2 linked regions of the Macaca fascicularis genome follow. The protein of the gene in region 1 purifies or fractionates together with the protein of each later gene. This does not show direct contact. Links are inferred from orthologs where the notes say so. Each region holds a gene or a part of one and is shown on either strand. Other genes may lie near its edges.

The links.
Region 2: the proteins of REL (region 1) and TNIP2 purify together in Homo sapiens (affinity purification with mass spectrometry; 3 studies listed by BioGRID and IntAct, counting the BioPlex papers as one, with this or other methods). This does not show direct contact. The link is inferred for Macaca fascicularis from reciprocal best matches to the Homo sapiens genes REL and TNIP2.

What each region holds. Positions count from the first base shown.
Region 1 is NC_088387.1:61,075,198-61,079,020, reverse strand, and holds part of REL (proto-oncogene c-Rel), read left to right. Parts: intron 1-654; coding exon 655-803; intron 804-3,823. UniProt on the Homo sapiens protein: Proto-oncogene that may play a role in differentiation and lymphopoiesis.
Region 2 is NC_088379.1:2,914,211-2,917,428, reverse strand, and holds the end of TNIP2 (TNFAIP3-interacting protein 2), read left to right. Parts: intron 1-1,665; coding exon 1,666-1,888; coding exon of another isoform or gene 1,889-1,929; exon of another isoform or gene 1,930-2,071; intron 2,072-2,373; coding exon 2,374-2,531; 3' UTR 2,532-2,552; downstream 2,553-3,218. UniProt on the Homo sapiens protein: Inhibits NF-kappa-B activation by blocking the interaction of RIPK1 with its downstream effector NEMO/IKBKG.

The sequences.
Region 1 (3,823 bases):
TTTTATATTCCCCGCTTTGTTCTTGCAAATTTACTAGCTTTCAAACTAAGCATTATTTCCTGTCCTCATTCCTCTTCCATGTTAAACTCTCCTTTTTACTCTGTGTTCTAAGATGTACTTTCTATGTGAAATTTGATGTTGTTAAACTCAATTTGATTTATTGCCTATTCTAGAGTGCAGTTGGGGTATGCTTACTGAAAAAATATTTTTGTGAAATGAAATGTCACATATTAAGTAAAATGATCATATTTATGTGCTATCCTTTCCAATATGGCTTAAATATATATTCAAGGAATGTTTATGGTATGACAGTACATTTAAGAGCTGGGCATTTAGTGACTTAACATCTGTTTTCTCATGTTCTATGATAAAATTTGGGTAGAGTTTTACTTGTTTTAAAAGGAAAATTAAGCAGAGTCAAATGATATGACCAAATGAAATTAGGGCAGAAAATATGTCAAGAAGCTGAGAGGTAAGTTCTTCTATACTGGTATTCTCTGGAAAGTTTCATCTAAAGTGCAGTTGTTTGTCAGTTGGACTTTATTTATTTAGTGCCAATTACATTATAATTAATGTAAATTGAACTCTCATTTAGTAGATCAGTTTCTAATGCGATCTATTTGGATCATATATTTAATTTCCCCCTTTTTTCAGATTATGAACTATTATGGAAAAGGAAAAGTGAGAATTACATTAGTAACAAAGAATGACCCATATAAACCTCATCCTCATGATTTAGTTGGAAAAGACTGCAGAGACGGCTACTATGAAGCGGAATTTGGACAAGAACGCAGACCTTTGTTGTAAGTACACAGCTACAGACATCTTCAGAAATAAGATGAGACATAGGACGTTCTGTTTCTTCTCCGTGACAGTCTGTTACTTTTTAGCAGAATAATTTTCTCATTCTACTTCTATTTACTATATTTTACACTTATATTTTTACTATTTGCATTAGAACTACCCTTTCATTCTTCATTAGTAGACACATCTTATGATGGTTAGCAGGAAGACATTTTTATTGTTATTAAAAGTAAACGTAAACTTATTGTATACCGTGATTTCCTTTCTTGGGGTGGACAGTTTTTGAAATAATTTTTCACTCTTTTTTTTTTTTTCAAGACGGAGTTTTGCTCTTGTTGCCTAGGCTAGAGTGCAGTGGCACAATCTTGGCTCACTGCAACCTCCACCTCCTGGGTTCAAGCGATTCTCCTGCCTCAGCCTCCCGAGTAGCTGGGATTACAGGCATGCGCCACCACGCCTGGTTAATTTTTTTTGTATTTTTATTAGAGATGGGGTTTCTGCATGTTGGTCAGGCTGGTCTCGAACTCCCAACCTCAGATGATCTGCCTGCCTCTGCCTCCCAAAGTGTTGGGATTACAGGCGTGGGCCACCGCGCCCGGCCTCTGTCTTTTCATTTATAGTTAACTTATTATTTTGAGACAGGGTCTCCCTCTGTTACCCAGGCTGGAGTGCAGTGGCATGATCTCGGCCCGTTGCATCCTTCACCTCCAGACTCAAGCCATCTTCAGCCTCAGCCTCCTGAGTAGCTGGGACTATAGGCATGCACCACCATGCCCGGCTAATTTTTGTATTTTTTGTAGAGATTGGGTTTTGCTGTGTTGCCCAGGGTGGTCTTGAACTCCTAGACTCAAGCAGTCTTCCCGCTTTGGCCTCCCAAAGTGCTTGGGATTACAGATGTGAGCCATTGTGCCACGCCCATTTACAGTTAACATAAAAATGCCTGGATGTGAGAAAAATCAACTGGAAAACTCTAGAGTTATTATTTAGAAAATGGCAGGTTATAGAATTAACATATAACAATAGTTCTAAGAGAAAAATAATCATGTAATATTTCATGATAGTGAGGCTACCAGAAGATGGGCCCATTCATCATGTTAGAATGTAAATTAATAAAGTCGTCTGGTAGGCAATTTAACTGCATAACAAAAGCCCGAAAAATATGAATGCCTCTTGAGCCAGCCATTCCACTTCTAGGAGTTTAGCCTCAGAAAATAATTACATGTACTCAGACATTATGCTCTAATGCTGTTCATTGCAGTTCTCTTTTTAATGGCAAAAAGCTAGAAGCAATTCAAATAGTAAGCAAAGGGGATTAATTAAATAAACTGATACATTCATGCAATGTACTCCTGTACAGCCTTAAAAATCATATTGTCAGTATGTCTATTGGTATGTAAAGATAGTCACAATATATTAGATAAATAGGTTTTCTGTTTTTTGGTTTTTTTGTTTTTGTGTTTGAGACAGAGTCTTTGTTGCCCAGGCTGCAGTGCAGTGGTGTGATTTTGGCTCACTGCAGCCTCCACCTCCCTGGTTCAAGCGATTCTCCTGCCTGAGCCTCCCATGTTAGCTGGTATTACAGGCATGTGCCACCACGCCCAGCTAATTTTTTGGTATTTTTATTAGAGACAGGGTTTCACCATGTTGACTGGGCTGGTCTCGAATTCCTGACCTCAGGTGATCCACCTGCCTCAGCCTCCCAAAGTACTGGGATTACAAGCATGAGCCACGTCACCTGGCCAGATAAATAGGTTTTAAAACGATATGTAAAGAATAATCCTATTTTCGTTTAAGATAAATTTATACATATATATGAAGTATATATGTTAATACTAAGGTATTAGTAGTTGTCTGGGTGGGTAAGATTGTAGGGTTTTATGTTTTTCTTTTAACTTATATTTTATAATTCATTTTTGTAATGAACATGTATTGGCTTTTGGGGAAAAATGAACTAATTACAACAGAAAAGAGGTTAATAGTCTCTACATATATTAGTAATAACCATTTAGAAAAAAATGCTTTAAATGCTCCTCTTACAATAACACAAAATATCTAGTATTATACACACTTGGCAAATATTTGTCTATATTACTTGACCTCCCAACAACATTTTACACTGTGATCACTCTTTACCTGAAATATTTTTATTCCTTATCTTCTGTGAAAACGAACTTCTGTTTTACTTCCTGCTTTTCTGGCTGTTCTTTCTTAGTTACAGGCAGTTAAATTTTTGGATCACCTTACTTACTGTCCTAATAATGCTCTTTATGGCTGTTCCATCTCTCTCCCCAATTCAGGATCCCATTAAGGATTACACACTATAGGTAGCATTATATTTAACATGAATAACATGAATAATATTTTCATGTTAACATTAAACATTTTGGGCAAGAAATCTATAGAAGTGATGCAGTATAATTCTCAAAATATTCCTTCAGTTTTTTACATTATTAGCAATATTATCTTGGCATTCTATTATAAAGAAGAACTTTCCCTTCCTCTCTTTCTCCATTTAAAAAGTATCACTGTAAACTCATGCATTCTTGTATTTAATGTATTATAGTTATTGTTATTCTTATGATTTTCAAATTGACCCAGATTTGATTAATGCAAGCCTCTTCAAACTGTCTCCTGTGTTTTTTTGATATGTCTTCATCTTTCTTTGAGCACTTTTTTACTTTCTGACAAAACAAAATGTTCAAGACTTGTGCTTTTCTTTTTTGAGACAGAGCCTCGCTCTGTTGCCCAGGCTGGAGTGCAGTGGTGCGATCTCGCCTCACTGCAACCTCCCCCTTCCGAGTTCATGTGATTTTTGTGCCTTGGCCTCCCAAGTAGCTGGGATTACCAGCGTGCACCACCATACCCAGGTAATTTTTGTATTTTTAGTAGATACAGGGTTTCATCACGTTGGCCAGGCTTATCTCAAACTCCTGACCTCAATGATCCTCCTGCCTCAGCCTCCCAAAATGCTGGGATTACAGACATGAGCCACCATGCCTGGCCATCTTGTGCTTTGTTT
Region 2 (3,218 bases), on another chromosome or scaffold:
AAATCCAGAAGTTTATTTAGCTCCTCATCAAGTATCTAACACAATTTTGGCCCTGGGAATGGCCCTGGGCCCCACTCAAAGAGCTTCCTCTCCTGGCATAGCCTGAACAGTAGTGATACCTCTTGAGAAACGATGCACCCCGGGCTGGAGCTGGGAGGCCAAGCTGAGCTGCCCCGTGTTTCAGGGTGTGAACAGGGATCCTGGGGCTGTGAGGCCACCCCACTGCCCTGCTCCAAGCAGCCACTGGGCCTCAGTGGCTTCTGATTCTCTGCTTGAAGGGCACAGGAGAGTCATGGTGGACACCTTTTCTAACACACCCTTGGACTAAGTCTGCAGCAGAGGGCTAGACACAGGCAGCTGTTTGTACTTGTGCATGAGGGAGGAGGAACCTGGCGGGGCACTGTGTCTTCCTCCGTTAAGTTCACAGGCTGACAAGGAGGCACTGGAGGCTTCACCAGCCACAGCAGGCCCTGCCTCAAGCCCCTGCCCAGCCCCCGCAGCCTTCTTGGCATCACAGAATGGAATGTGTATGGGTGGCTCCCCATCCCCCAATTTCAGATTCTCCTAAGTCCCTGGCACAGGGATTCTTCAGCATGTCCCCTAGGCAGGAATGGGAACATCTTGCAACAGACCTACATGTGGGTTTTCCTGGGATTTGGTTTTAACTGTGGGTTTTCCTGGGATTTGGTTTTGCCTGTGGGTTTTCCTGGGATTTGGTTTTGCCTGTGGGTTTTCTGGCCTTCACGAATTCAAGGAAGCATGTGATTTGGATTGAAGGATCACTGTTGGTACAATCATGAGGATGGTCTCAGGCCACCTCTCAAAGATTTCGGACCCGAGGAACTGGTTCCAGACTTGCAGGCCCAGATTCTTACCCCTGAGGGTCAAGTTTCTGGTGGGGCCTGCAGACTTTGTACTAAGTGGCCTCTGTGTCCCTTTCAACAGTAGCCTGTGGCCCCTCGAGGGTTGCTCAGTCCCTAGGTGGCACAGCCAGGGACAGTGGTGCTGAAGCTTGGGTGATAAGCTGTAGTCCCACTGGGAAAGTCCACATTCAGACAGGAAGTGGAAGCACCAAGGCCTACTGGAATGAAGTTCGCAGACAAGCAGTGAGGGCCGCAGGCTGCGGTGCTTCAGGACGGATGTTTGGAGAACGCATGCCAGGCTGTGCCAAGTGGTTGGTGGGGCCAAGCCAGGGATACCTCTTGCTGCTACTGAAGGACCTCCTGAGCCCCAGAGTGCTGAGCACCCCCAAGCCCCACAGAGGAGGTACAGAGTAGGGTTTGGACTCAGTTTTCCCAGCTCCCCACCAGAGGCTCTGCCACCTCCACTCTGTAGTGGTGTGTGGGCTACATCATCAGGGCCAACTTATCAGTCGGGTCTCCTAGGGCCGATGGGTCCAACTGAACAGGACTTCCACCAAGGGGTTACGGAGTGGACCATACTAGGGCCTGTTTCTTCATGAGCGCATGAGGGAGCGTGGGTGCGATCTCCTCAGTCATTCACTGAGCACCCCCTTGTCTGGGCTCTGGGGCACAGCAGGAAGCAAAGTGAGGGACTGAAGTTCCGCTCAGGGAGAGATGAAGTACCTCTAGTTGCTGGAACCTGAGACCAGACTTTGTGACCTTCAGCACAGCCCATGTAAATAGACCTTTGCCTTTTCTCCAGGATTCTCAGGAGCCAGACGCCTGCCGGATCCATGCTGGAAGCAAAGCTGCCAAGTACTTGGCCACCGATGCATTGGAGCTTATGGTGCCTGGTGGCTGGAGGCCTGGGACTGGGGCCCAGCAGTTGGAACCCCCTGCAGAGGGCGGGCATCCTGGCATGGCCCAGAGAGGCCAGGGGGACCTTCAGTGCCCTCACTGCCTGGAGTGCTTCAGTGACGAGCAAGGTGAAGAGCTCCTCAGGCATGTGGCTGAGTGCTGCCAGTGACTGAGACTCACCCGTGCCCTTACGGCCCCCTGGCCCGGTGCAGCTGCCCTCAGGGACAGGGTGGGTACTCTCAGATGCCATGGGTTGAGCTCTCCTGAGATCCAAGGCCCCTAAATAGGTGCGGGGCACTGTGATCATTCCCTTTGGTCCCCCTTTGGCTATGGAACAGGCTGGGTCACAGGGAACTGCCAGTGAGGCTGGAGGCTGGAGGCGGAGATGGGGTTAGGAACATCTGGCAGAGGGAGGTCCTGGTCTGTGTCTCCATCAGGCTGAAGCCAGAGCAATCTAGTGCTAGCGTACCAGCCCCTCCCCTAGCCTGCACCTGGGCATGCCGCAGCTTGCCAGAAAGGGGTGGCTGCCTATGGGGGTCACTTGTATGGTCCTTAGGGTGGAAGCCCCATCCTGTTCTGTAGCATAAGGTGTCTCCTCTCTGCCTTGAACCAGGAGGTTTGTCCAATGGAGCATTGCGGCTGTGCATCACACTAGGGGGGCCGCCCCCGCCATTGCAGAGCCGCATGTCTGCCCTGAGAAACTGCATCGCAGTAGCACTGTCATCTGTCCGGAAGTTAAAGCACACTTACTCTATCCACCTATTTTTATAATAAACGTTCTTGCTACTGTGACTGCTCTGAGAATGTGTGTTGGAAGCTGGGGTGCAGGGACTGAGCAGTATTGACAGCAGCTGGCACGGGAAAACGCTCCTGCTGTTGCCTTCTCCCAAGGCACCAAGACAAGGGGGTGAGTGGGAGCCTGGCTGTGTTAGGGTTCTTTAGAGGGACAGAACTAATGGAATAGATAGATCCATAAAGGGGAGTGTGTTAAGTATCGACTCACACGATCACAAGTTCCCACAATAGGCCATCTGCGGGCTGAGGAACAAGGAGAGCCAGTCCAAGTTTTGAAACTGAAGAACGTGGAGTCCCATGTTCAAGGGCAAGATGTAGGCTGGGAGGCCAGGCCGGTCTCTCCTTTCACGTTTTTCTGCCTGCTTATATTCTAGCAGCACTGGCAGCTGATTAGATGGTGCCCACCCACACTGAAGGTGGGTCTGCCTTTCCCAGCCCAGTGACTCAAATGTTAATCTCCTTGGCAACACCCCCACAGACACGCCCAGGATCAATACTTCGTATCCTTCAATCCAAAAGTTGACACTCAATATTAACCATCACGAGTCCACCCCTTGTCAGCTTGAACCCATACATATTCCTGAGATAATAATCTTCAAATAAAGACAAAAATAAAGTCACATCTAACATAATACAACGATCCTTCATATAACCGGAAATGCA